Linked DNA regions of Canis lupus familiaris. The protein of the gene in region 3 purifies or fractionates together with the protein of the main gene of each other region. This does not show direct contact. Links are inferred from orthologs where the notes say so. Each region holds a gene or a part of one and is shown on either strand. Other genes may lie near its edges.

Evidence for each region.
Region 1: the proteins of XIAP (region 3) and MAP3K7 purify together in Homo sapiens (affinity purification with western blotting; 3 studies listed by BioGRID). This does not show direct contact. The link is inferred for Canis lupus familiaris from reciprocal best matches to the Homo sapiens genes XIAP and MAP3K7.
Region 2: the proteins of XIAP (region 3) and SIVA1 purify together in Homo sapiens (affinity purification with western blotting; 3 studies listed by BioGRID). This does not show direct contact. The link is inferred for Canis lupus familiaris from reciprocal best matches to the Homo sapiens genes XIAP and SIVA1.
Region 4: the proteins of XIAP (region 3) and XAF1 purify together in Homo sapiens (affinity purification with western blotting; 5 studies listed by BioGRID). This does not show direct contact. The link is inferred for Canis lupus familiaris from reciprocal best matches to the Homo sapiens genes XIAP and XAF1.

What each region holds. Positions count from the first base shown.
Region 1 is NC_049233.1:49,888,521-49,895,449, forward strand, and holds part of MAP3K7 (mitogen-activated protein kinase kinase kinase 7), read right to left. Parts: intron 4,321-6,929; coding exon 4,259-4,320; intron 3,182-4,258; coding exon 3,066-3,181; intron 996-3,065; coding exon 815-995; 3' UTR 1-814. UniProt on the Homo sapiens protein: Serine/threonine kinase which acts as an essential component of the MAP kinase signal transduction pathway. Plays an important role in the cascades of cellular responses evoked by changes in the environment.
Region 2 is NC_049229.1:72,707,111-72,714,761, reverse strand, and holds SIVA1 (apoptosis regulatory protein Siva), read right to left. Parts: upstream 4,920-7,651; 5' UTR 4,868-4,919; coding exon 4,750-4,867; intron 3,583-4,749; coding exon 3,388-3,582; intron 2,633-3,387; coding exon 2,476-2,632; intron 771-2,475; coding exon 713-770; 3' UTR 597-712; downstream 1-596. UniProt on the Homo sapiens protein: Induces CD27-mediated apoptosis. Inhibits BCL2L1 isoform Bcl-x(L) anti-apoptotic activity. Inhibits activation of NF-kappa-B and promotes T-cell receptor-mediated apoptosis.
Region 3 is NC_049260.1:96,091,371-96,098,895, reverse strand, and holds the start of XIAP (E3 ubiquitin-protein ligase XIAP), read right to left. Parts: upstream 5,084-7,525; 5' UTR 5,076-5,083; coding exon 4,199-5,075; intron 3,134-4,198; coding exon 3,034-3,133; intron 2,031-3,033; coding exon 1,964-2,030; intron 868-1,963; coding exon 825-867; intron 1-824.
Region 4 is NC_049226.1:30,831,553-30,839,107, forward strand, and holds the start of XAF1 (XIAP-associated factor 1), read right to left. Parts: upstream 4,592-7,555; 5' UTR 4,438-4,591; exon of another isoform or gene 4,388-4,437; intron 4,154-4,387; exon of another isoform or gene 4,106-4,153; intron 3,967-4,105; 5' UTR 3,856-3,966; coding exon 3,829-3,855; intron 3,504-3,828; exon of another isoform or gene 3,321-3,503; intron 2,980-3,320; coding exon 2,805-2,979; intron 1,999-2,804; coding exon 1,913-1,998; intron 1-1,912. UniProt on the Homo sapiens protein: Seems to function as a negative regulator of members of the IAP (inhibitor of apoptosis protein) family. Inhibits anti-caspase activity of BIRC4. Induces cleavage and inactivation of BIRC4 independent of caspase activation.

The DNA.
Region 1 (6,929 bases), on a different chromosome or scaffold from region 3:
ATCATTTAAGATGGATCGTGTTCATTTACCTTTTAATTTCATTTAAGAGATATTAATACTAGAGTCATAAAATCTTTACAGTTTCAACACACATACACGCAATCACAAATTAAAAATCTTTGTATCTTAAAAAAAAGGGTTCCATTTTGTTCAATGTATCATAGTCAAATTTTAGTCCAATGAAATATGGTTTTATTACATACAGCAGCCGCCACTTACCTTTAAATATTTTATGGGTGGAACTAAGCTCAGCATTGACTGCAGGATGCTGGCGTCAGAGCCCTTACCTGCAACTGTCCCTAAAGATTCTGCATTTCTATAATGTACCACCAATTATTCTAGATTTATAATACCCTGTCTTCAACTTGGCATATACCATCTTTTGGAAAAAAAATTGTTTTCTGAGATGAGATACAAGAACAAAATCATTCTTGAGGTTCCACCTCAAAAAAAAGACGATGTTTGCACATAGCAGCTAGTTTGATAACCCCTGTTTTTGTTAGGCTAGCCTTCACACAATGAGCATGCATGTACAGCCATGGTTCACTGCATCTGTTTTGAAGTTGAGAACTGCTGCTTATTCAAGTCACAGATGCCCCCATGTTATGTAAGGAGACAGTTGAATTGTATGTCCACCATGAAAAGAAGAAAATAAACGATGAAACAAAATGCAGCAAATATAGGCAGTTGGCATTCAGAACACGCCCAAAGCTAACACTCATGAATTGTCATTATAAGGGCTTTTCTTTCCTTAAAAAAAAAAAAAAAAAGAAGTCTGTCTTTGCATATTTTAAAATTTAAAGGTCCCAGAGAATCATGAAGTGCCTTGTCGTTTTTGCTGCTGACTTCTGATGACCTCTAGTTGTTTCTTGCATTGCTGGTAGTAAGTGGAAAGGCTTTTGTTTTCATCTAAAAGCTTTTTATGTTCCTGTACCAGACGAGATGTATTTTGCTGGTCCTTTTCATCCTGGTCCAGTTCTGCAACTAGTTCTTGCCTAAAAACAAATACCACATAATAAAATATTGTACATCTTGTACATGATAAAAAATCCATACTTAGTAACTGATGAGCTTGGCTTGTTAGGGCTTTCTGTATTGACTGTTACACATTTTAGGTACACTACTCAAATATAATTGTAGGCTAGAATGGAAACTATTACCCACTCTTCTGGTGTACCCACACGAACACCACACCACGATCCTTTTGTAAGTAACTGCACTTAGATAATTAATGAACGCAGATAAAATGGCATAACAAAAGTTTCAAAACATTTTACTTGGTATCCCCTTTGTGTAAGAAGAAGAAAAAAGGCTGGGGAAGGGCTCTAGGCACAGGAAAATAACATGTTTTATCATTCACATTCCACTTTTACACTCGTGAACTTTTATTTATGTTTGAAGTTACATCTTATTTAACTACAGTACAAAGTGGGGGCTCATAAAACATTGGCAAGCTAATTAAAATAGATGCTATCAACTTAAATCTATTTCCTACTTTAAAAGTGAGAACAATACAAAGTACCAATTTCGAATGAGTTACTTTTACAAACATTTTCAGGAAGACCATTAGAGACTTTTACAGCCTGATAAACTTTTTAAAGACCCCTTTATTTGGGAGATGTTCAATTTTAACTCCTAAAGTGAAGTTATAAGTGATTAATTAATGATATAAATGAATAATTAATGAAGAGCCTCCAGATGATTTTCTTGTAGTATTTCTCAAAGTATTTAAATAAAATTGATTAAAATTGTCATAGTTTTCGCATTCCCTCAATCTATCATTTCTTTTTCCAGCACAGAACCAACTCCTCGTTCAAATGAATAAAAAAGGAAAAAAGTATAGACTAAATATGTAAAGTAAGAGGTTTTTTTTAAAAAACATAAAGTGTCAACAGTTCTACAATTAGCTCCACAATTTGCAGACTCAAATATTTATTTCCTATAGAGCCTTTAAGGTAGAGTTGCAATCATTTAACAATAAGTTGTGATAGAGCTATTTTTTCTTTTTTTTTTGAAGTACAAACGGAAACTTTCCACAAATTACTTCAGAAAGCAAGAAATTTTCACTTATTTAGATTAAAATCAATAGAGGGAATCCTATTACCATGCCATGATTTTTTCCTATAGCACTTCATTTCAGTTCCCTCTAAAATGAGGATCCATGCAGAAACTTAAGTTTTTGTTTTTTTTTTTTTAAGAATTTCAAATAAAGGAGCATGAAAATTGATTTTCTTAAAAAAGGGAGGAGAGGAAGGCAAACTCAATAACTCTCAGAAAAACATATGCGTGAGTATAAAACACCTTATAAAAACACTCATGGGTATAAAATAAAGTAATCCTACTCTCCTAAATATATACCTGGAAAGACTATATCAATAAAACATTTCTAAGATAAAGTACAGTTGAACATTAGTAAATCAAATTATTTTACCTATGTCTAAGGAAACAATAAATCATTGTAACTATAAATCTAACCAGCTTCTGGTTTCAAAATTCTTAGAACATGAAACACCAGTTTATTTTCCTTAGTTTTAATATAATACATACAGCCAATGGGTTGAGTTTTACATGAAAAACAGCCGAAAGTTCCTTCAAACTTAAAAGATGAACACATATAAAACCTCCAAATTGGAAATACAGTTGACCCTACAATGAGATGAGTCTCAACTAAATGGATCCACTTATACATGGATTTTTGTTCAGTACTGTAAATGTATTTTCTTTTCCTTATGACTTCCTTAATAAAAGTTTTTCTCTAGCTTACTTTAAGAATATAGTATATAATACATAAACATATAAAATAGGTGTTAATTGACTGCTGATGTCATTGGTAAGGATTCTAGTCAACAGTAGGCCATTAGCATTTTTGGGGAATCAAAAGTTACACATGGATTTTTGAATGAGTGGGGGTTCAGCACCCCAACACCCAAGCCGTTCAACAGGCATCTGCATGCTTAATGATTAGTTCTAAAAATTATCAAGCTTTCATGTCTTCCAACAATATTTCATCTTAACATATTTTAAACTCAAAATACTAACGTGTTTATTCACAAAAGATAACTTACTTTCTCTGTAATAACAAAGCAATTTCTGTTTGAACTTTCATATATTCTTGTGCCATTTTACAATGCTGTTCAAACACTGCCATAGATTCTTTGGAGTTTGGGCACGGTGCTAGAGGCTGAAAATAAATCAGGACTGTTAAAACATAATTAAATCAAATCTTAATATCAAGCTGAAAGTTAAGACAGTGACTGTGACATGTTTTTATAGCACTAAAGCAATGGTCTTTTAAAAGTAAGTGTTAGACCATGGCCTAGAAAATTTCAGTGTCCTTTTGTCAGAGTTAACTCAGAACTTAAATTCACACTTGCTGTCTTAACACTTTTGTTGTTACAGAGAATCATGACTATAGAGTATCACTCGCCTCTGGCTTTACATTTCAGGTTGTCAAACCATATTATACGATAAGTTTATGGCTTTCATACTCATGAGGAGACACTGAAGTGTATTACTTATGTTTTCAGTCACTATGAACATGAGACATTGACAGTGTATCATGAAATCTATTAAGTACAAATGAGCTTATGCAAATTTTATATTACAGTACTAAAATTAGAGATCAAAAATGCTATATTCTTGGCATTTTCTTTCTTTCCTTTTTTTTTAGAGAGCAAGAGAGAGAACCTCAAGAGGCTCCATACCCAGCGCAGAGTCTGATGTGGGACTTGATCTTACAACCTTCTGATCATGACCCAAGCCAAAATCAAGAGTTAGATGCTTAACTGACTGAGTCACCCAGGCATCTCCTATTTCTTGCCATTCTTTTTTTTTTTTTAAAGATTTTTTATTTATTCATGAGAGACACAGAGAAAGAGGCAGAGAAGCAGGCTTCATGCAGGGAGCCTGACATGGGACTCGATCCTGGGTCTCCAGGATCATGCCCCGGGCTGAAGGTGGCGCTAAACCACTGAGCTACCAGGGCTGCCCTATTTCTTGCCATTCTTAAACAAAGATATGGAAGTGTTTTAAGACAATTAAATATCTTAAGAACATATGATTTTGCCAACTTCAGATTTGATTAATTTAACTGAATGAATCATTTTAACTTGATTTTAGAAAGTTTAAGTAGGCCAACTAAAAGCATAAGTAAGTGAATATATGATGACAGATATAAACACAACTGTCAGCTTTCTAGATAACTTCTCTAAACTTTCTAAGGAAATAGTAAACAGTCACTGAGAAGGCAATTCTTTACCTGTAGTTGGTGATCCAGTGTAAGATAAGCCATTGGGATAGAGTTATCTGATCCATTGGTATCTGGAATTCAAGTATGTATTTTATTTATTTTATATCATAAATAATTATAAGGACAAAGCAAGAAAGCATGCATGAGATATTGGCATTTTTTTTTCATAAAATAAGTAATACATAAAAGTTATTACTACTGGTAATGAAGAAAGTCTATTCTGAATTCTAAAGGTAAAAGAGAACATCCAATTACCAGATAATCAAAATGCAACCATACTCTGATTCAATTTAAGTTGGCTATAAATTGTGTAACATTAAAGCTTATAAGCCCTTGTTCAATTAAAAACAAAAACATCTACCCCTGAGACTAAATACTACATTATATGTTAACCAACTTTAATTTAAACAAAATCTTAAAGGCAAATAAAAAAAAAACAGTGGTAATGGGACCTTTATACTTTATATTGTCTTCACTGACCCTACCTAATCAAACCTCATAGCTCTCTTTCCTTAATCATGCTGTGTACTATAAGGCTGTGTCAATTCCCTGAATACTAGTGTTCTTTTTTTTTTTTAAGACTTATTTATTTATTTATTCAGAGAGAGAGAGAGAGAGAGAGGGAGAGAGGCAGAGACATAGGCAGAGGGAGAAGCAGGCTCCATGCAGGAAGCCTGACGTGGGACTTGATTCCGGGTCTCCAGGATCACACCCCGGGCTGCAGGCGGTGCTAAACCGCTGAGCCACCGGGGCTGCCCTGAATACTCGTGTTCTTTAATGAAAAAAGGGGGAAAACAAGAGACACATTCTCTTCCAGTAGATTATCTTCTATTTATACAGATTCTAGCATGAACCCCCTCCCACTTCTCCTAATAAGAATCACTGTAGAAAATGGAAGATGTTTTTGATGGGAGTATGAACAGTATGGAAATTATAGCTCAATGTCATGCACAAAACAGCTGAATGGGTTAAATCCAACAACCAGTCGATTTTACCAAAGTATTTTGAACAGACAGCTTTTGTTTGTATTTCAAAAGAGGTAAACTGTCATAACAACTTGCATGAGTCACATGGGATTAACATTTATGCCTCCAGAAGCAGGCAGGATAACTGTGAAGTAATAGGATCTTTTTATTTCAGAAGTAGTTGCTTTCCCACTGTTAGGAGAGAGTAAATGAGTTAAACAAGTGAACTGTTCAGCCCTTTCCCTGAGAAGTAACTCCTTGAAAGAGTGGTGCAGATAAAGACAAGGTCGGGCTGACAGCAATGCACTGCATGCAATGCAATAAAAAAATAGGACAGTCTGATGGTTCAGTAACTTCAATAATTTATTATTGACTGATATTCTAGTTTTCTTTTTCAAAGCCATCGTGAATGTGCTTACAAGTGACTCCAAAAGCTAAGCTAAATCAAATGAAGTAAGATAATGCATGTAAGAAATACCATGCAATGCTAACCTATATGGTAAGCACTCAACATATGGTGGTTATTATTACTGTTATTGCTGTTGTTATTTATACTAAATGGAGAATTAGGAAGGAAGAGTAATTTTATATACTCAAGTTTGTATTTCAGTTTGAAAAAACATTCAGTAATGTTTACTAAATACTGGACAGCAATAAAGAAAGAGTAACAGTGTATTGCCTAGTAGTCTTATCTGACCAAAAATCATATACTAACTGAAATGGCTGAACAAGAAATACACTTAACTTGTTATTTCTCTGACCAACTCTTTCCCCACCCACATCAACAGTTTCAAACTATGTAATCTCCAACAAGATTACAACTGATTAAAGATTATTTGCCCCTGACTTTATAGGAAAAATTAGTCTCTTGAACTCTTTCAACGTTTCTATTCCTATTACTCTTTCTTAAATCTTTCATACTTGATATATCTTATTAAATAAATACTCTGTGTCTGATATGTATTTTAAAATTAAGTATACCAGTGTTTCACAGTACTCAGGGAATGGGGAAAAAAAAATTCAAGGATTGTGCTATTAACTATTAAAACACTCAGCTTTGTGCTGAAAATTTAGTAGTGTCTTAAATTTATTAAATAAAGTATGATGATTTTTTTTAAATTTTTAATGTGCCAGAATTATGACTCTAAGATTGCAAGCAGTGGGCCATGTATTATACTTCCATCTTTGCAAATAAGAAAAATTCCTCAGTGGGTTTTTCCCCCTCTGTGGCTCCCTCTACTGTGTCTAGTCATTTCTCTCACTAACTGCTCTTGGGTATCCATGTCTTTCTCTATATCTAATATATTATAAATAGAAATCCAAGAGCACTCAGTATGTGCTATGATTATTAAATTGATAAGCTTTTTAATTTTTTCCAAAAATGCATAAAAATCCCCCCTTAAAAAAAAAACCTAATTAATTAGGTTATTTAAACCTATGTATGTACTTCTAATTTTTTCCTGAATCAGGGGGACTTCAAAGAAAAAGTCTTCACCAATATGTCTTCCCTGTAATTTACTGATTAGCTTGATTATCAATACTTTTTCTCAGAAATTGTGAAAAGCTGAACTTCATTAAATATAAGCTTAAACCAGTATCAACTTCTAAAATTACATACAAAATTATCTAAAAATGATAACCACAAGCTTGCCGTATTTCAAGGCAAAGCCAAAATCTAGGTCAATTTTGGACCTTCGCATGATTTCTAGTTATTG
Region 2 (7,651 bases), on a different chromosome or scaffold from region 3:
CCCTGTGTCCTCTAAGAATCATACCCCACTATCCCTGGACATATCTGCCCTGCAGGGGACCCCATGTGTGGGGACCAGGATGGAGGGACCAGGAGAGGGAGACCCACAGGCTGCTTGTGTGACCTCCCCTGGCTTCCTCTCCTGTCTTCCTGGCCACCCTACTGCTGCTCCTGTCAACTCCCCTCCCTTCAGGCCACTGCCCCAAATGCATTGAGGACATGGTGCAGCTGGCTACCCCTCCCTGGAGAACAGGGACCGTCCGGTCACCTGGAGCCAGGCCACGCAGGCATCTGAAAAACCAAGTGGACACCCAGATGGGGGCACGTAGTGGTGGCATTTCAGGGGCAGTGTGGGACATCACATCCCGTCCCGCCCCAGCTGCTCTGGCACCATGGTTCTGCACTCTGGCGTCAGAAAGCCTGGATCCAAATGCTCTCTCGTCATCACTGGCTGGAGGGGCTGCAGTAGCTTGACTGTGGATGCCCGTTTCCATTTCCCATCTATACACCCCACAGGAAGCCCAGGGGGCCAGCACACCACCTGTGGGGCGCTGCTCCAGGAGGCCACGCCCCCAAACCGGTAACTGAGTCCTCTCGTCCAAATATAAAAGGTTTATTCACTTCTGCCCTCGGTACAAAATATAAAACAGACCCCCACCCCCCACAGTTCTACGGCATCGACACCGGTGCAGTCCGTCCGGGAAGGCCAGCCCTCAGGCCTCGAACATGGCGCAGCTGGCACAGAGCACCGACTCGTGAACGTCACCACAGCTGCAATGTCACAGGGAAGAGAGAAAACGGCTTTTAGGGGCTCAGTTGTGTCCGCCGGGATTGGTATGTTGTGGTGCTGACCCCAGTCCCTTGACTGTATCTGGGGACGGAGCCGTGAGCCGCAGGCAGATCTAGCTAAGCCAGGGCCACACCGCAGGCGGGTGGGCCCTAACCCCACACGCGAAGTTACCGCCCACTGCTGTCTGTCACAGCAGCCCTACTGGACTGAGAGCCGACGGCCCACCTGTGGCCCCCCACACGGGAACCTCCCGGCATCCAGTTAGAATTTACTGGACCACAGTAGTTTAGCAAATCACAGAGGAGGGTCCTTAGGAGAGACCACGAAAAGACAAGAAAATTGGAAAGAGGCCTCAGTCTGAGATGCGCCATCAAGAAGGCAGCGCAGCTTGCCACCAGGAGGGGAGGGGAGACGGTAAGCCTGTGGCCCACAGCACCGCAGCACCGGACGTGCCACAGGTGACCAGCTGTGGGCAGGACGCCGATGGCCGCAGGGCTACTTTTTAGTGGAAGCAGAGCCTGGCACAGCTCCCAGCTCCGTGGCCCCGGATACCAGGACCCAAAGGGGCTGCCCCTGAAAGGGAGGGAGCAGCAGGCCCAGGCCGCCTTCTAAACCTGGGATGCCACCTCAGCCCTGGGACCTGGAGCCTGGAGCAGGGAGCCCGTCCCCTGGCCGTAGCTCTAAGAAATGGACACTCCCTCCCCCATCACAGGGTGAACTCCGTAGGTAGCTGGGGAAGAGGAAGCAGGAGATAAAGGCCAGGAGGACACCGTCAGGACAGGAGGAAGGCTGCCACACATGGAGGGGTAGGGGGAGGGCTCCAGGAACTCCTCCCTAAACCTGAACGCTGCCCAACTGGGTCCCTCCCCAGGGAAATGGCCTGGAGGCGCGGGGGCCCAGCCCTCTTCAGTCTGCACAGAGACAGGAAGGTAAAAATAAGCTCGCAGAAGCAAAGGGAAGAGTATTCCACATGCATAACTGGCCAACATACAACCCAAACAGGACAGCAGGGGTTCCCAGGACCCACCCCGCCCCTGGCTTTCCCAGGCTCCGCCGGCTGGCCCACCTGAGGTGGGCTTCTGCCTTCCACGCTTGGCTTTAGGCTGCTGTGACTAAACTAGTGTGAGGTCCGCACAACCAGCTCCAAGTCTGCGTGGGGGCCTCGTCTTGCACTCCCAGCCGGCACCAAAAGTGGCCACTGGGGTGGGAATGGTACCTGGTGCCTCTCAAGCAGGCGCGGGATCCAGACAGCGGAGGCAGACACGCGCACTCAAGTAACACACTAAGCAGACGGTCCGTTCTGGCTCGAGACAGCCCGCACCCAGCCACACACATACAGGCCTGCGCCTGCTCCCCACCCCCACCCCCACCCCTGCTTCCTGCACTGGCGAGCAGACCAACAGGAAAAACCATGTGACGCAGTCCTTACGTCGGAGCCTGAAAGATCAGATCACGAAGTTACTGAGACAGAAGACTATGAGCAAAGCAGAAGTGGCAGCCTATGTGATCTGCAGTTCTGTGACAAAAGCTCAGTCTTCAGAAAAACTTAAAAAACCAGGCAAAGCAGTTATTGGCACCACCGCGTCCCCAGGGGCAGTGCCAGACGGCCGCTCTCCCAACCTCCAGGCCTCAACGTCACGGGGGTGCTCAAGTGCCTGTGCGGGCACCCCACGGTCAACCACTTACTCCACAAGGGCACACAGGGCGCAGGCCACGCCCCCGCAGCTGGAGCAGACGTGCACACACCGCCCGCAGAGGGCACGCTCACACTGGCCACACGCTGCCTTCCCGTCCACGGCTCGCACGCACGAGGAGCAGGCTCTGGTCGCTGCCCCGGAGGGGTCTGTAAGAACGAAACGCCATCCGTCAGCCCTGCAGGGATCTGAAGTGCTGGAGGCTGTGGGGCCACCGACAACCCCTGACCGGACTCCCTGCAAGCGGGTCCTCCTGACACCCCACGAGAAAGCACGGCCCACAGACCCTTGTTCACTAGGGAGACCCCAAGTGCCTGGGAGCATGTTACAGGGCTGGTTCCATGACTCTGGGTTGAGTGCTCCTTCCATTCTCGCTATTCAAATGTCGGTACTGGAAGGATCGGTTCTTCCCCACTGTGGCTTGTATGAGAACTCTTGTGGCCCCCGTCTCGTGTGTCCAGCACCCGTGTCTCAAAGTGTGGCCCTGCATCACTGGTTAACAGAGCTCCTGGGCCCGAGTCCAGGCCTTGGGGAGGGGGGCAGCAGGGACTATGGCTCTTAACCAGCAACAAAGGTGGTCGTCTGAGCTGCACACCACACAGGCGCCGGACCGGCGGAGCCACCCAGCTGAGACTCTGGGTCTTGCTGCAAGTGGATCCTGATCCCCCAGCTAAAAGCTGCTTCACAACCTGCAGGCTTGCATATCAGCCGGGGGTGGATGGGGGTTAGAACCTCCTAAGGTCGGGAGCCTCCTGGTGCTCACCAGCTCCTCAGACCCCAGGGCCAGCTCTTGCCCCTGCAGGGAGGGGAGGAGAAGCTCCCAGGCAGACAGTGTCAGGAGTCAAGTGCTCAGATCCACCCTTAGCGCATGGCTGGGCAAGTGCCTGCTGTTGGCCTCACTCACCAGCTTCAGAGGCCTGGGCTTGGCTCCTGGTCAGTCGGCCATCTGGTCCAATCAGCATCTGCCCACGGGCTGCCCGAAGGGCCTCTGTGGGGCCGGGCTTTGGGGACTCCGGCAGGTCAACAATGGCACAGCCTTCCTCCCACAAGTGGTCCATGTAGGCCTGGGCCCCTCGAAAAAGGAGTTGCTTGGTTTTCTCTGAGGAAGAGAAATCAGTCCCAGTGTTCACAGCCCTGCAACGTGGAAGCCCTGGCACTGCCCCCTCATCCTGCCAGCTGCCGTGGCCAGGCCTCCTTTGTGCTGTCATCCAGCCGCCCCGGCCCAGGATGCTCCCTGGTGAGCTGGGGACCACTGGGTCCGCTCGCCCTTCCTTACCAGGGCTCAGCGGCCACCTCCGCCAGGATGATCCTGCACCACGCAGCCCAACCCAGGCTCCCTCTCATGACCTTCCATGCGGCTTTCCCCACAAGTGGCCTCATGTCACTGCTGTTTCTCTCCTGCCCGGCACCCTGCAAGCCGGCTGGTGTATAGCACAGAGGACGCTCTGGGCTTCAGATCACTCATTCACACCCAGCGGCTCAGAGCTGGGCCGACAGCCCCGGCCAGCGTGCACCCCCTTCACCTACTACAGAGCACGACAGAAACCGGCTCCTGACAAAGCGCTCCTGGAGCTCCGCAGACGCCTGTGGGCCCGGGACACTCCCACCTGAGAGCCGAAGTGGTGGCTCGGCACCAGCAGCAGAGGCTCTCCGCGCGCCACACGTCCGTCATCGGGGGCTTTCGCAAGATCAAACGCCCAACTCCAGCCCCCAGATGCTCTGTGATTCCTGCCTCGTCCCCACGGGGCCAGGCCCAACAGGCCCTGGAAGCCGTTGGCTCCGTGTGACGTGGACGGTGACTCAAATGGGCGGCTGGTGAGCCCTGCCCCACGCAGCTCCTCCTCACCTTGTCCCGGGATCCCGCGGCCCGGAGGTGGCCTGGGGTGACTGCCCGGCTGGAACGCCCAGGACCTCAAGGCAGCGGGAAAGAGCTGCCGGACTGTCCCCCGCTTGCAGGTAAGCTGCCTGCCTGCCTGCCTGCCCTGACCGGGTCGGCCCCAGGCTGCGCTCAGCTTTATCACTCGAGGGCTCAGAAAGCCTCGTCTGCGACCCAGGGCTGCTCGGGAGGGCCGGGGACAGCGGGAGAGGGCGACCCCGGAGCCTCACCTCGGCAGCTCCGGGTACTCGCCGGCGCGGCCCGGCGCCCGCAGCCCCCGCAGCCGGGCCCCCTCCTCCCCCTCCCCGGGGCCTGCAGCGGGGCCGACGCGGGGCCGGGGCGACGCCGCCGGCTCGGGCCCCCGCGGGCGGGAGGGCGCCCCGCACTCACCGAAGACCTCCCGCGAGTGCTGGTCGCCGCACACGCCGCGGCTCAGCTCCCTCTGACCCACGCGGACCTTCAGCTGCAGGGGGGCCGCGTCCGCGAACGGACAGCCCCGCTTGGGCATGGCCGCCGGCCCGGAGCGGCGCAGCTCCGCCGCGCGCCTCGCCGCCACCCGTGACGTCACAGCCGCGCGCCAACGCGGCGCGGCGCGGGATAGGCCGGCGGCGAGGAAGGGGGCGGAGCTCGGCGGCGGCGCGGCGCGGGATAGGCTGGGGGAGAGGACGGGGGCGGGGCCCGGCTGCGCGGGAAACGCCGAAGGCCAGGGCGGGGGGGGGGGGTCCGACGGCGGCGCGGGACGCACGGAAGGCAGCGGCGTGGGGAGAGAGGCTCGGAGGGTGCGCCGCACTGGCAGGCCGGGGGCGGGGCTCGAGCGCGGCGCCGGATAGGCCGAGCGTAGCTTGGAGGCGGGGCCGGCGAGCCGGGGGCGGGCCTTGTGTAAAGCGCGCCGCGGGATAGGCCGCGGTGGAATGGGCGGGGCCAGGGCGGGGGCGGGCCGCGGCGCGGGATTGGCCCAGCGTAGGTTGGAGGCGGGGCCTACGCGCCGAGGGCGGGCCTTGCGTAAAGCGCGCCGCGGGATAGGCCGCGGTGGAGTGGGCGGGGCCGCGGCGGGCCGCGCGGGAGGGGCGGGGCTGCTCGGGGTTTGGCGCGGGGCGGAGCCGACGCGAGGGTTGACACTGGTTCCCCGCCGTCGTCCAAGCCGCCGGCGCCGGAGGAGGATTCGCGCTCTCCGAGATGCGAGGTCGGAGGAGCTCCTCGTCGTCACGGAAGTGGGCGTGCCGGTCGGCCGCGTTTCCGGGGCAGCGACGTCACTTCCGGCCGGCGGAGGGCGGCCCCTGCGGGGTGTGGGCCTCGTGGTGCGGGGCTCGGGACGTTCTCTGCGGGCGCGTGGCCGCGCTTGGAGCCGCTTCGGGGCCTCCGAGGACGCACGCGGGGCCGAGTGGGTGTCGGGGGGCCGGCGCGCCTCATGCCCACCTGCCGGCAGCGCCCGGGCCGGGGTCACGGCCGGGGTCACGACCGAGGTCACGGCGGGGGTCGCGGAGGGGGGGGACTGAGGCTGGCGACTCGGAGGGAGGGAGGGAGGGAGCGTCCGCACCGCGGGGTCAGCGCGGCCCCGGCCCGGGGCTCGAATGCACCGAGCGGGTCAGCGCGGCCCTGTCCAGAGGGCTGCGAAGGACCCTGCGGCCCTACGGGGCGGCCGCCGACTCCGGGGAGCGCGGCATTTGCAGGAACCCGCGGGAAGCCGGAGGGCATGATGCTACGTGGGGTAAGCCAGGAGGACAAATGCTGGACTGTGCCGCTCACCCGCGGCACCTCACGTCGTCGGGCTCCCAGAAACAGCAGAGGGGGTGGCGGTGGGATGGGGCGGGAATCGGGGAGGTGCTGGCCGGAGGCCACCTGTGCAGCTTGGAAGGTACTGAGAGCAGATGTCAGCTGCTGTCCCTGCAGCCGCGGCAACAGGAAGATGGGCTGCCACGTGTTAGCCGAGCTCGGGTGGTAAAGCTCCTACTGTGTGCGCATCGGCTGGTCGCCCCGAACACCCCGCGCCCACACGGTGGTACGTGCGCCAGTAGGGCCTGTGCTAGACGTCAGTTCTGTCTCAACGCTAGGAAGGAAGCTTCTCTCCAGCTACAGTCCCGACAGGAGGTGCAGGGAGGTGCAGGGAATCGGGTGATCCAGGAATCCCCAGGGCGGACACGGTTCAGCCTGTAACATGCCGGGCTCTGCGCTGGGCTCTCGGAGCGGCCTTGAGGACAGCCAGCGGGGTCCCTCCCCCCGGCTGGGACAGATGTCACCGAAAGGGAAGTACAGGGGCCTGTGGAGGGACAAGGTAAGGACACCTGCCCTGCCCAGGCCAGAGGATGCTCCGAGAACACTTGCCGCCCAGGGTCAGGCTGTGTGTGAAGCAGGTGCCGAGCAGCATAACCTCAGAAAGTGGGACGTTGTGGAAATGAACGTTCACCAGGTTGAGGAGGGAACACGCTTCCCCCTCCCGAGAGACACACCGCGGGCACGGCTGGCAGGAGGTGCATTCTCGCCCGTGTCTGGTCAGGGTGGCCTCGGGGCCCTAAGATTTTGAGCAATGACCATCTCAGCCATCCCAGGGCTGGGCAGTCGCTGCGCTTGCATCCCTGTGAGTAACTTAAGTTGCAGCGTAATTTAGTTACGGCGAAGTCGAACGGATGTGCGCCCAGAGCAGTGCCCGGATGAGCGAGGGACGGTGGCGTCCGTGACAACAAGCGCATACACCTGTGTGGCCACAGGAGGCCTTGGCTCCGCTCCCCTCCCTGCAGTGCAGCTGCTGTCCTAGAGCCTCGCAGCACACGGGCAGCTCACTCTGCAGACGCGTTCGTGTTGGGCCCCTCAGCGCGCCGACTTTGAGCCCCTCGGTGAGGTTCCTTCATTGCTGAGTGAGTTGGGTGTGTGCTGCACCACCGCTCGCTCACTTGCTGACCGACCTGGGCTGGCGCCTGGTCTGGGCTCTGGCGAAGGCAGCTCCCCTGGATCCCCTCTAAGGATGTCTCTGGCCGTCCGGCTCCCCTCACCGGTCAGCGCCTCGGAGCGGGGTGGCCGAGTGCAGGTAAGTGAACGTCCAGAGAACTGGCCGCTTTTCAGGGCACTTGGAAGAGCCCAGCAACCTGGATCGATTAGGGATTTGTCTCCCTTGCGCGTTGAGCTGAGACCACTGCGAGCCCCTCCATGCTGGGGCTGTTACGGGTGCAAAAGAGAGAGCACCTTACCATCGCTCAGACCCTCCGACACCTGCTGCAAAGGGGGGCTGCGTGCCCCCGCCCACCCCTCAGGACAGCCTCCCATCCCTGGGAGTAAGGAAGTTGGCGCCACGCAGGAA
Region 3 (7,525 bases):
TTCCTTTGGGGATTTTAACAGAAATGGCAATGGACAGCCTATAGCTGCTCCTCCTAAGCTTGGAAAAGCTAACTGCACAACCGCCATAGGAATGTCCTTTCTTAAAATTTTATTTTTACTTTACTATAATTAGTATCATTTTATGTAATGTATATAATTATATAACTTATAATATAATTTAGTATAATTTAAATTTTTCCAGTACAATTAATGTACAGTGTTACATGAGTCACATGAATGTTCTTACTATATAAATATCTGACTTAAAAATTTTTTTAAAGATTTTATTTATTTATTCATGAGAGACACAGAGAGAGAGAAGAGAGACAGAGGCAGAGACACAGGCAGAGGGAGAAGCAGGCTCCATGCAGGGAGCCTGAAATGGGACTCGATCCTGGGTCTCCAGGATCACGCCCTGGGCTGAAGGCCGTGCTAAACCACTGAGCCACCTGGGCTGCCCTGACTTAAAATTTTTAAAAAGATTTTATTTATTTATTCATGAGAGACAGAGAAAGGGGCAGAGACATAGGCAGAGGGAGAAGCAGGTTCCCTGTAGGGAGCCTAATGTGGGACTCGATCCCAGGACCCTGGGATCATTACCTGAGCCAAAGGCAGATGGCTCAACCACTGAGCCACCCAGCTACCTATAACTGACTTAAATTTATAGGCACTTCCTAATCCTTAAATTTATAGCAATCTCATCTCAAATAAATCTACTTTGATTATCTTGAAAAAATAAGCTTATGTCTCTACCCTATAAAAAAACAACTGTAATAAACTGCTAATGAAATTAAAAGTATATTTATTTTAATGTACATACTTACCAATTCTTTCAGTTAATGACCGTGTTCTTTCAGCAGTTCTTAGCTGAAATAGAAATATGGACTATAAGTTAGAATTCTTTTTGGTAGAAGATGATTACCTCAATTTGAAAAGTTACACTAATCATGAATTTATAAATTGGCTTTATTCCAATTCAACATATGAATGTTTGCAAGAGGCATAACCTGATGAAGCTAGAAGGAAGGTTTTTTTTTTTTAAGATTTTTAAAATTTATACATGAGACACACAGAAAGAGAGAGAGGCAGAGACACAGGCACAGGGAGAGAAGCAGGCTCCATGCAGGGAGCCTGATGTGGGACTCGATCCCAGGACTCCAGGATCACGCCCTGGGCTGAAGGCAGGTGCTAAACCACCGAGCCACTCAGGGATCCCCACTAGAAGGAAGTTAAAAGATCATCTAACACAATCCACTCACTCTATAGACAGGGCACTGAGTCTCAGGGAGTTTAAACAACTCGATTGAGGCAAGGGAGCTCATGGTAGAGCCATAAATGACAACTCTGGCTTCCCATTCTAGTCCATGGCTCTTCCCACATGGTACCAATACCTTAGCCATCCCAGGCTGCCATCAATTTAGACACGCTTCTGAGATTTAAAATATTGCCTTTGGAAAGTTCACAATTATTTATGAGTATAAAACACATTATACAAAAGTCTAATTTCAGAAAGTTGAGGGATTAAGTATTTTAGTTCTTCAAACCCATTTTTATTTACAGTGAGTTAAATCAATCAGCTTATGGGGATTCCTCTTTCACAAAGCTACTTCAGGTTAAGAAATAACAAGCATTCGGGATCCCTGGGTGGCGCAGCGGTTTGGCGCCTGCCTTTGGCCCAGGGCACGATCCTGGAGACTCAGGATCGAATCCCACGTCGGGCTCCCTGCGTGGAGCCTGCTTCTCCCTCTGCCTGTGTCTCTGCCTCTCTCTCCCTCTCTCTGTGTGACTATCATAAATAAATAAAAAAATTAAAAAAAAAAGAAATAACAAGCATTCTTCAAGATCTCCCCTTTAAAGCCCACCATACATTATTAATTTAAGATACTATACTGTGAATTTTACACCAAGAAATCATTGCAAAACAAATTAAATAATATTTTATATTCTACAATATGTGACTTACCACTGAATGGGTTAAATGAATATTGTTTATATATTCTTGTCCCTTCTCTTCTAACAGATATTTACACCTAAACAATTAAAAGAAGGTTAAACTTTGGTAGCTGATAAATCAGTAAAGTATAAATACAGATATCTCCATTATCTTAATTCCATTAACTTCCTTTTTGGTATTTCTAAGAAGCTGCAAAATGAAATGTTATTTAATCTCTACCAACTGTCATTTCAAAGTTAAAGAAATACGTTCCTTTGTTATACTACTCTTTGGTAATCTTAGGCAAAAAATAACAACTTGAGAACTTCCAACCTTAAACCAAGTTATTAAATTTAAGATTTAATTTTTTAAATAGTTTAATTTTGTTTAGAGGATTAACCAACTACACACTCTGAAGGAACTCCTTAGGCTTTCAACCTTTCCTTTTAAGGCTTTTTAAGCTTAAGATTTATTTTCAAACAATCGCTCTGAAGTTTTAAATTGTACTAGTTTGTAGGTCAAAAATTTTACATCACTTATATGTATGAATATTTTTAAAGAAACAAGATGACAAAGAGACAGAGTATGTTATTATCATTCTAAGATGCCACTGATTATAAGAAGGATGATTATTTTATGTACCACCGCTGCCAATTAAATTATGACCCACCACCAGATGTATCATTTCAAAAATTTGAAAATGTGAACAATTGTGTGTCTTATAATCAGAGAGATACAGTAAAATTTGCTAGGGGATGTGATGGGTTCCAAGGAAAAAATCCTTGGCAACAAGGGCTCTCCCGTGGTCATTGTGAAAGAGCCTACTTCTAACAACAAAACTATATATTCCTAATTAGTGTTTAGAAATAGAATAATTTGAATGTCATATATATAACATATAAGCAATGAATGCTTTGGTCACCAGAGAAGGCTTAGGGCCTTTTTTTTTCTATAAAGTAGGTGACCCCATTTTTATAAACTTGGTGTGAATTGCAAGCCATAGTGAAGGCAAAAATAGTTAGGTGAAAAGTTATTCAAGATTTTCCTGACTGCAAAGTGTCTAACTTGCCTGTTCCTAAATAAACATTTAAATACCTTACCCTGGAAACCACTTAGCATGTTGTTCCCAAGGGTCTTCACTGGGCTTCCAATCAGTTAGTCCTCCTCCACAGTGAAAGCATTTTACTTTATCACCATCCCCTAAGAAGAGACACAAGTAAAAATACATGTATTTGTGCAATTAGAAGCCTATGCAAAAATGCCCCTTTAACACCATGAAATTAACCATTTTAAATTACATGAGAATCTCAGCTTCAAAGACGACATTCAAATTCACATTTAAATAACAGCCATGACTGTTTGAGGAGGGAATACACACTAAATTCACTGATTCAATTTGAGGTATTTTACAGAAGACAAAATAAATTGACCAATTTTTATGTGAAAAATTAAAATTGTTATCATTTGGGTCTACCAATACTACACTTTTTCAAACTGTGAAACTTTAACAATAAGGCTCAGGTTAACAAAATTACAAAGTAAGTTTCTCTAGGGTTATAGCTACATGACACTAAACAAACCTTCAAAATTGCTACAGGATACTATGTGAATAAAATATTGAAATAACTAATATTTTGTATTTTGGCACTACTCAATCCTAAAGCTAATGAGTCAGATATATGATGGTATAACTTTTCTGAATATTCCTGGAAGTCATCACACTAAGGGCCCTTCCTGACAAGTTTACAGTAGTCCATTTGAGAAGTGCTTATTTAAAAAAAAAAAAAAAAAAAAAAAAGAGAAGTGCTTATTTGAAGCAAAAAGGCATACAGGGCAGCTTTCAAATATAAACTCTATGTACAAAAGGCAGGTATCAATTTTAATATCAGCCAAACTAAACTCTCTAATGTTAACTCTTTTTATGAGGTATAGAAAGAATGCATGTGATACATGTACTGAGCACATACAGTAGGTGCTCAATAAATTATAGTTTATATTACTGTCAGACCCATTCTTCTATCTGGGAGATCTATCATCTTTTGCATGTAATCCTTCTCCAAAAAAACAAAGATAAATATAACTCACAATATAGTAGTCCTTTTTCACATAAATGTAGTAGTTACACTGCAAATTCAACATAAAGGTTCACAGATTAATCATGCCAGCCTTTATTTACCAGTTCAGGGGGCTAAAGGAATCCACTTTTTAGGGGGACTGGGATAGTTGGAAAGTTATTTATTAGCCTGGTTTTATAATAAAGTTTACCTAAAGAATAAAATCCAGCTCTTGCAAGTTGCTCCTTGTTAATTGAACACATCCACATCCGAAAAGTAACGATCCGTGCTTCATAATCTGCCATGGCTGGATTTTCTGGAATACTTGTTGAATTTGGGACGTTCCTATCAGTACTCGCAACATCAGATTCACTTCGAATATTAACATTCCGGCCCAGAACAAAGAAGCAATTAGGAAAGTGTCGCCTGTGTTCTGACCATGCATTATCACACGGTTCCCAATTTTTCAGTTTTCCACCACAACAAAAGCACTGCACTTGATCGTCAATACCTGTGTAGTAGAATCCAGCACTAGCTAACTCTCTTGGGGTCAAGTGGACATAGTCTGGCCAGTTCTGAAATGAGTTTAATCTAGCTTCTTCACTATACATGGCAGGGTTCTCCGGGTATGTGGTGTCTGATATATCTACGACCTGTCCAGTTCTCAAAAGATAATCTGCATGAGTCTCAGATGGTCTGTCTAAAACAAAATGATCTCTGTTTCTCAGATAGTTTTCTGCATTATATTGACCATTTTGGATACCTGGATTTGTAGGTTGTGCAGCAGTGTTTTCAAAATAAAAGCCATTGATAAATCTGCAATTTGGGGATACTTTCCTGTGTCTTCCAACTGCTGAGTCTCCATATTGCCATCTATCTATTGATGCATGACAACTAAAGCACCGCACAGTATCTCCTTCACCAGTATACAGAAAACCAGCTCGTGCTAACGTTGATGCTGAAACAGGACTGCTACTTGGAAAATTAGCAAAAGTTTTTAATCTATTAAACTCTTCTACAAATTCTTCATCCTTATTGATGCCTGCAGGTACACAAGTTTTAGCTCCTTCAAAACTGTTAAAAGTCATCTTCTCTTGAAAATAGGACTTGTCCACCTTTTCTGAAAAGAGAACATTACATTAGAAAATTCAAAATCTGAAACACAGGCAATATAATTTTGATATTAGGAGCTAACAAATTACCTGATGACATAAAATTAATTACACAATCTCTAAAAAAAACATTCTAATTCCAAATACTAGAGCTCTGCATTATATGATTCAAGCTTTATAAAGTAAAAACCAGCATTTTCATTTTCTGGAGGAAAGTAATATTCAAGCAGGTAGAATAAAACTGTTCTTTAATTGATTACTTTATGTAAATATGGAAACTGTGATACAGAATATATTAAAATTATTAACCATGTAAAATTATTAATTAGGAAAAACAAAAGCATAAATTATGCAGATTATTAAACTCTATGCATAATTGTTATAATAGATCATTATATATTCAAGCCATCAAAGTTCAGTTTTTCAATTTAAAAAAAATGTTCAGAATGTTAATGAATTAATTTTTATTATTTCTTTACTTTTCTGCTTAGCAAAAGGTATTTGAGTTTTACTCACAACACTGGTTCCAATATGAGCATCGAGTGTTTAAGAGCACTTGAGTGTTTCTGATTTTCATGCATATGAAAATGGGACTCCTGTAGTCCATTTTCTGTGGGAATTGGATCATTTCGGATGTATATATTACTGCCCTCTAGAGGGTAGCTCAGGAAAGATAGTAAGTATGTATAGACCTTAATTGCAGTAAGTTTTGCTATCAACTTCCCATGGTCGAAAAATGATCTGTTCAAATGGAAGAGAAGTACTACTGCAGCCTCATTAAAATTGCCACATTATAGCTGTGTAACATATAACCGAAATAAAATACTAAAGGAACTAGGTGGGTTATGAGAAGGGTGGCCAGATAATTTATCCTCCAAACCTGGACACTTTGGAAAGTGAAAAATGATGCTACTAATAATTACACTAGGACAACAGGGATAAATCAGGGTTGCCCCAGGCAAACCTGATTCTCTAGAATCTCGCACTATTCCTAATACTGTGTGTGCTCAGTATATGTTTGGCAAAAAAAAAAAAAAGAAAAAGAATGGTCATGATAATTCTGCCTCTACTTCATATGTCAATTAATTGATTTCTTGGGAAGAATTAGCAGCCCTGGCATTATGTTAGCACAATATGTCTTGGAACATCATTTCAGTGTAATAATGTTCAACACAAGTCTTGCAGGGTGGCAATAAACTTCAGTCTTTCCTGGTCTTGTCAATTTACAATGGTAGTAATTCATATATACCGCAAGAGCAGAGATATATCTGCATAGAACTATTTTTGGAAGATAGTCTCCATGACTTTTCATTATTGTTTCCCAGATGTCTGAAAACATTTTGACACTAGCTTCAAGACCCCTTGTTCAATGAGCATAAACTGGATGATAATAACCAAGGCTGTCTCATAGGCTGAGATGAAATTTAATAGGGATATTAAACATTACATTCTGACTTTAGAAACCTGTGGCACAACTAAAGGAAAATGGAAACTTGGTTTGGAAAGAAGTCATGTGAAGCCAAACCTCTAGATTAAAATCTTGGGGGATCCCTGGGTGGCGCAGCGGTTTGGCGCCTGCCTTTGGCCCAGGGCGCGATCCTGGAGACCCGGGATCGAATCCCACATCGGGCTCCCGGTGCATGGAGCCTGCTTCTCCCTCTGCCTGTGTCTCTGCGCCTCTCTCTCTCTCTCTGTGACTATCATAAATAAATAAAAATTTAAAAAAAAAATAAAAAAAATAAAATCTTGGGATTTTAGTTAATTAAAAATTCCATTATGAGGGGTGTCTGGCTGGCTCAGTTGGTAAAGCATGAGACTCTTGATCTTGGGGTCGTGAGTTCAAGCCCCATGTTCAGCACAGAGCTTACTTAAAAAAATTCATGGAGTGCCTGGGTGGCTCAGTCGGTTGAGCATCTGCCTTCAGCTCAGGTCATGATCCCAGGGTCCTGGGATTGAGCCCTGCTTTGTGCTTCCTGCTCTGCTGGGAGTTTGCTTCTCCCTCTGCCCCTTCCTTCCTCCACCCACCGGTGATCTCTCTCTCTCTCAAATAAATAAATAAAAATTTTTTAAAAAATTCATTATGGGGGATCCCCAGGTGGCGCAGCAGTTTAGTGCCTGCCTTTGGCTCAGGGCGCGATCCTGGAGACCTGGGATCGAATCCCACGTCGGGCTCCCAGTGCATGGAGCCTGCTTCTCCCTCTGCCTATGTCTCTGCCTCTCTCTCTTTCTCTGTGTAACTATCATAAATTAAAAAAAAAATTCATTATGAGCCAACATTACATGGCTACTAAAAAAGAAACTTAAAGCAACTCCAGGCTGCATTAATGTCCAGATGTACAAGGCCCAGATCCAATTCAGTTACACATTGAATATTATCTTCAGTACTGAAAACACTTCAGAAAGAACATTAACAAAGCATCCTATCT
Region 4 (7,555 bases), on a different chromosome or scaffold from region 3:
CACTGGGCTCAAACCCTGGCACCAGCAGGGCAGGGAAACGAGATGGCGGCTGGCAGGACAGGAGATCAAGAGAAATAATTTCGGCTTCTCTGTTCCCGAGAAACGTTAAGGTAAAGCAGGAGATCAGGACCCGTGCAACCATGTGGTATAAAGGATTTCAGTCAATTTGCAAACTAAAAAAAAATGGCGACAGGAGGCCGCTGTGGGGCAACGCAAGAGCTGGGTTATTATCATCCCTTTGAAAACTTGGCAAATGCTGGGACCCAGTGGAGTGAAGTTGGGGACCGTCTCACCTCTGCCTGCTGTGGGGCGGAAAGGGGAGAGTTGATGGGGCAAGGGGGGCAGGAGCCAGGGGCGCTGGGTGGGAGCCGGATTTTGGAGCACAGGACCCTTCCCCCAGCCCGCGTGCACACGGATGCTGGTGCTGCGGGCTCACAGGTGTTCTTTCCCCAGGGAAGACCAGACAGATTGGTCCTCGTTATCCCTCAAAGGAGGGGAGAGGCTCAGGAGGTGCTGCAGCCTGTAAGCGGCAGAGCAACCCTGCAATCATGGGATGCCCCATTGGCTAGAGTCCCCCCGCCCCCCCCCCGCCACCCAGTAAGCAAGTGCTGTCTTTGTTGACTGCATGGACATCCTGACCTCAAGGTCAGGACCTCAGCTGGGGTCCTATTTTCACACTCGCCACGCCTCTCCTGGCTCCTACGCAAGACCACAGGCAGGATGGGAGGAGGCATCGGTAGGCCAGACACACAGGGTAATGCATGAGCCTCCAAGCTCACAGCCGAGACCCACTACCTGAGACCTGAGACCCGCGGGGCTGGGGCAGTGCTTCCCAAGGGTGAGAGTCTAGGGATCCCGTGGACCTGCAGGGTCTCAAGTAGCCTTTCTGTGGGTGGGGTGGAGAAGATCCTGCATTTCCGACAAATTCCCAAGTGACCCTGATGGTGCTTGCCCTCCCCCCCCACCTCCCAGTGGACTGTGCCTTTAAACACCAGCACTAGACGGTGGAAGCAGCCCTTATGCCCCTTGGCAGCCGAGCGTGCAGATGAAGTGTGTCAGGCCCGTAGGAAGCCACACAAGGGATCAAGTCCCAGCAGGGGCTGCGAGGTGGGTGAACCCTGGAGGCCTCTGCTCCACAGAAGCCAGTGGCCTAAGACCACATGACCTAGTAGTCCATCTGTAGGGAATGTCGGCAACAGGCAAATCCATGGAGGATTTGGGGATGGGAGGTGTCCCACCAATGTGGGGCTCCTTTCTAGGGTGATGAAGATGCTCTGGAGCGGAGACTGGGGGTGGCTGCACTGACGGTGGATTGTGTGCATATTTTACCACCACAAGGGAAGACCCAGACTGTCCTAGGGTCTTGGTAAGCCTCAGCTCTCTGAGTGGAAGGTTAGGACAGGGTCACACTCTTCACACAAGAGAGGAGGAGCCTTAGCGAGTTTCCCCAGAGGAAAGGTGAACATCCAGTAGAGGCACGAATAGGTGCTCAGGGCCCAGAGGGAGGATCTGTGAGTGTCCTCCCTCCCCCCGGCCTGGTCAGTCCCATAGGGAACCTCGACCAAGCCCCCTTTTTTGGTACCCAGCCCTGATGCAGGCTACCCTGTGCAAAGATGGAGAAAGTTGCTCACTCCTGCCGGAGCTCACATCCAACCGAGACCATTCGCATCAAGAGCAGAACAGAGCAAGGCAGGTCCTACCGGGGGTCAAACCACCAAGTCCAGGCGCTGGGGGCCAAGGAGGTGCGCAAGTGTTGGGTCACCAGAGTGAGCCACCCACCTCCCTCCCTAAGCATGGCAACAAGTATGGGAACCTGTAGTAGCCCTGCTGTGTAGGGTCAGGCCCAAACCCTACCTGCCAACATCACGTGTTTGGAGTAGGGATGAGCAGAAAGTGACAAATTGCTACTCACCATCCGGCCGAAGTCCTTATTTCCTGGGATCGCCTGGTTGCAATAACGACAGTAGATGTCATGTTCAGGAGGTGAAATTCTCGTCCCTGAATAAGCACAGAAACAGTGCCATAAATGACGGCCCTCGGCAGTGGCTAGGCCAGCTCCCCCGTAGCCCCGTCCATGGCCTTTGTCCCTGGCGGTCCTGAGCACCAGCTGTCCCCAGGCCTGCCTAGCTGCGAGTGTCCCGCACTGCCCGTGTCACCGGCCAGATCATCCATGAGATGCCCTGCATGGCCACGGACGGCGGTGGTTCCTGGGGCAGCGTGGGAACCCCGATGACGAGGTGGTTTACTGGAGCAGGACGGGTTTAGGAGGAGGCCACGGCGCCAGTGACCCAGAGGCTCTGGCAGCAAGCTGGTGTCTGTGTGCATGTCTGCGTGTTGGGTGTGTGGAAGCCGTGTCATATTGATGACACCGTGTGCAAGCCCAGCCACGCTGAGATGCAGGAAATGGTGCGAGTCTCAAGGATCCCAGTTTTTCATGTGCTGATTTTGACCTCGGCTGGATTGTCTTGCAGGAGACATGTCTTGTGACCGCCTGCAAGCTCTGCGTACCCGCAGAAGGGTGCAGGTGGATCTCTCCCAGGTTGGGAGCATCCTGTGGGAGTTCAAGCGAAGCCTCCCGTTGTGTGGGGGTCCCTGGACTCTGTCCCCAGCCTCTTGGTCCCCCTAGACCAGTCCCCAGAGGACTACAGTGGATGACACCGGAGGCTGTTCAGGTCCGAGGTCCAGAACTCCAACAGCCAGGCGGATGGGAGATGCGCACAGCTATTGCCTGTCCTGCTGAGACCCCCGTCCCTGTGTCCACCCTTACCCAGGAGCCCCCCTGCCCTCTCCAGCCTGGCCCTCACCTGTGCTGAGCCGGGCCTGTTCTCTCCGACACACCCGGAGCCCAATGGGCTGGCCGCAGTCTGGGCACAGCTCCCTGCAGCTGGCACCGTGGGGCTCATGTAGGCCCAGGGCGCTGAGGTGCCCAGCCAGCTCGTGGAATCCATGCTCCATGGGGCGCTCCAAGTATTCCGTGGCCTACAGGGAGGCAGGGAGGACAGGCAAGGTCACCAGACCCCAGGCACGGCAGCCCTGGGGGGACAGGAGCCGATCTGCCTGGGGCACTGGAGTGCATGAGGAGCAGACAGGAGGGCCCAAGAGGGACTCCCCCTGGGGAGCAGCGGCCGTCTTGGGTGCAGGGGCCACAGGAGGCTCTTCTACCAGCCTCTGGGGAACGGGGGCCCTGTGTCCCTATGGTGAGCTCCTTCTTCCTTGCCCCTCACACCTACCTTGGAGAGAAGACAGTGGTGTCTCTGCACCCCACCCCCTATGCCCCCCTCCTGCCTGCTTGTTTGTTAGGAAACCATGCTGGACCCTGACCCCCTGGAAGATGACTCTGCACAGCTGTGACCCACTGACATCTGACTACACACAGAAGCCAGGGTCCCAGCCATACCCGCAGCCTCCCTCTGTGTCTGCCTAGGCTACCGTCTGGGGGCTCCTGGGAGCAGGGGCCAGGGTGGCTGCCTGTCCCTCTGCAGCACCAGCCCCATGCTCAGGAAGTGAGTGTGGGACCCATCTGCCCAGACCTGAGTGTCAGGGGGGAGGGAGGGGGCTGCAGGGGACCTGAGGGTTGGGGGATGGGGGAGCTGCTGGGGGACCTGCGGGTCAGGCGGGAGGGGCTGCAGGGGGCACCCATGTGAAGAAGCAGGAAAGGAAGCTGGCCTTGGCCTGGCTATTTTTTAGAGCTTTCCTGGCCTGCGTCCCCTCCTCTCAGGACATCCAGCCTTTCCTGAAACAGGGACCACTTGCCCGGTCCGTGAGGACATGGTGGGGGAGGGGCCACCATGTCAGCCGCACTGGACCCCCGCACCTCTGCCTCCGCACCTGCTGGTGGGGCTCATGGTCGTCCATCTTCACCTGTGGGACGGGCTCCCTGCCTCGGGCTGGGGATGGATCAGCAGGCAGTGGGTCTCACAGACTGACGGATGGACGGCCAGGTGGGCAGCGGCCACGCTTTTCTTGCTGCGGATCAAGGGGAGAGAAAAATGGGCCATTGGGTGGTGCGATAGTACAGCTGTAGTCCTCACCCAGGGCCGGGGAGGAGGTCTCAGGCCTCAAGCACAAGCGAGACGGTGAGATCACCCATGTCCCCTCCCGGCAGGGCAAAGCAGGGTCACAACATCCACAGGAGGTCTGCCTGCAAGAAGCGGTGGGTGAGGCTGCAAGGGGCCAGGTGGGGACGGCCCTGGAGGTGTCGCGGGGGGGCTGTCTCCCTCACATCAGAACCCTGCTCTAGGAGCAGCCCACTGGGGACAACTGGCCTCAGGCTTTGGGGCTGCCACAGGTTGTCTCACTGTCCCCGGGGTGGGTAGCGCCTGACCCCTGTCCCCCGTCCTCTGGGCTCCACTGAGTTTAACCCTTCCTGCCCCTTCCTGCCCTGGAGGCCTCCTGTGGCTCCGATCCCCCCCTCCCCCGCCAGGAGCTGCATCTCACCGGTCACCTCTGGGATGAGCCTCTCCTGCTCTGCCTCAGCCCCCCGGCCTCTCCTCCTGTGAGTTTCGGGCTCCCGGTGAGTTTCGTTTCTTGCAGACAAAGAAACAAAACTGAAAGTGCCCGCTGTGAACAGACTGTGCTGGGGCGGGGAGCGATTTCCCCAAACCTCAGCCCAGGGGCTGCAAGTCCCTCGGCTTTGACCCAGGCGGGCCCGCGCCTGAGACCGACCCCTGCTCCCAGGGGCCACACATCCCCTTCCTTCCGGACACCTCTGTCCTCCCTCCTGCTCTGCAGGGAGCTTCTTGCACCTGCACCATCCCCGGGTCCCTGGCACTCGGAGGACTGGGTGGGGAGTCGGGGGTGCAGGTGCTGTGTGCCAAGATGCCAGGTTCAGGCGTAGGTCACTGAGCAGCTTGGTGATGAAGGACGATGGGCAGGCCACCCCGGGGGGTGCTCTCCTCGCCTGTGAATCTGCACAGGGCACCTCGCCGCACCTCGCAGGGACTGTGCGTTTCACGAAGTGAGGGTCTCGGCCACCCTACGTCCCGCATGGCTGCCCGCACCGCGTCTCCGACAGCGTTTGCTCATGTCCTGCTCTGGGTCACATTTGGTAATTGTCACAGTACTTTAAACTTTTCTTTTTAATTTTTAAAAACTATTTTACTTATTTATCCATGAGAGACACACAGAGAGAGGCAGAGGCACAGGCAGAGGGAGAAGCAGGCTCCCTGCGGGGAACCCGATGTGGGACTCGATCCCAGGACCCCGGGATCACGCCCTGAGCCGAAGCCAGACACTCACCTGCTAGGCCCCCGGGCGTCCCTCAAACTTTTCAGGTTTGTTTTTGAAGTGATGGGACCTGTGATCAGTGGTCAGGACTCACTAAAAGCTCAGGAAGGCTGGCATTTTTGAGCAATGTATTTTTAGATTAAGCTGGTACATTGTTTTATAGACGACAGTATGGCGTGAACCTAACTCGTATATTCATGGGGAAGCCAGAGGAATCCCGTGACCCTCTTCGCAGCGATGCTTGCCTTGCTGGGCTGGCCCTGAGAGCAGCCTGTGGCCCTGAGGTACAAATGCTGCAGTCGTGCTCACCGGGTAAGAGGCATCAAGGAAGGTTCTATTTCATCATCCTGGCTTCAGATAAAGAAACTGAGGTACAGCAGGGGCAGCACAACGGGGTAGCAAATACATGTCCTGCCACCCCCAGGCTCTCCCCCGGTCAGACTCTGAACCCAGGAAAAGTGGCCGTGGCTGGTCTTCCCCCACTGATAGTCAGAGGGCACGGAGGGCTGAGTTTGGATCCTGGGAGCACACTCGGCTGCTAGGTGATCACCTCACCTGGTTTGGCTCCTGTCTCCTTGTTGCTCTGGACTCAACTGGGGGCCTAGAGGGGACATAAGGCCAGGTGCCCCCAGAACTTGTGTGCGAGGTTGCCTCCCTGTGAGTGTACAAAAGGCACCTTTTCCCTTTTTTGCTGGAGTCCACATCCTGTTACTAATGACATGACCGAGTGACCCAAAGATTTGAGGAACCAGGTCCCGGTAAAGGCAACTTGTCCCAAATCACTGGTGCGTCAGTGAATCAGGTGAATAAAAAAACACTTGTTTCCACAGGGAGATGCAGGGTGCATTGGTCAGACAAGAAAAATGATGCAGATAATTGCACCTCCATTAGGACACATTTAGATATGATACACTTCGTGTCGATTTATTTAGAGCATTTTACACGTGTTTCTGTTTCCCCGAATTTTGTCCATAAAACAATTGAGTCTGTCGGCAATTAGCGTCACTACTTATATTTACCTTTATGGTTTGTAAATGTAATGAAGACACTACTGTGTAGTTGGAGGACTTTATTTTTAAGATTTTATTTATTCATGAGAGACACACAGGGAGAGAGGCAGAGACACAGGCAGAGGGAGAAGCAAGCTCCCTAAGAGGAGCCTGATGTGGGACTCGATCCCAGGACCCCGGGGTCACCCCCTGAGAGCCAAAGGTAGATGCTCACCTGCTGAGCCCCTCAGGCGTCCCCATCAGAGGATTTTGAATGTGGCCACATGTCCGTCTACACCTTTTAACCCGTTTCACCGTGAGCAGGCCCGCTGTATATGTGACTTTACAACAGCAGCTTTTTGCTAGAACCTGTGGCTTGTCCCGATGTCAGGAGTCGGACAGGGATCTGGGGCAAGGGTGGGTTCTGGGGGCTTAAAGCACGTGGGCTCTGGGTCACCCCCGAGCTTGTCCACATGCTGGGATCCTTGGGGAACCTGCAGGAACCTCTGGTGCTGCCCGCCCATGGCCCCCATCTCCCTCACAACCCTTGGGGGCCTCCCAGAGTCTCCACAGTCCCCCCAGCCACGTGTCCCTCCAGGGATATCACCCTCGCAGGGGCGGGCAGCACCAGAGGTGAGGGGAAATGTCAGCCCCTCTGCCCCTCTGTACCCTGGGTGTCTAGGCCGTGTCTGTACTGGTGGTAACAAAAAAACAGCTTTCACAGTGTCAGGGGCTCCAGCCGGGACCCCCTGAGCAGAGGGGCGGCCAGGATGTAGACGAGGGGGATGCCGTGAGGCCTCCGGACCACCACGGTTGGTGAAGGGGGGGCTGCCCTGGGAGTGACCCGAGCTCTCCCATCTGTATCCTCACTTTCTCCAGGATGTTCCCTCTTTGCAGAAGCCCCTCCGGGACTGACTCCTGTGTGACGATGGGGAAGGGACCCATGTCCATTGTCCCTGTGTTCACTGAACACCGTCTGTCTGCCTGGGTGACTGCAGACTCTGCCCCTTCCATCCGGTGCCTGGAGGCCATGGGGGGGTGGTGCGGGCCAAGGGGGTGTGTGCTCTCTCCGGGGTAATTAGAGCAGAAGTTAGATACCCCCTCCTCCTGCCCTGGGGCCTGAGGGCAAAGCAGCAGGCGCCACGCCCCTTCAATGCTAAACAAAACTGGTGTCTCTATTGCTGAGGTGCACACATGCTTTCACTTAAAAAAAATTCAGGATACAACAGACGAGGCCAAATCTCCTTTCTGACCACTGTACCCGCTCCTGAGCCATCGCTGGCACGCTGCGCCTAGCACGAGAGCCTGTCCCCATTCCCACTGCGAGGAGAGCCAGAGCT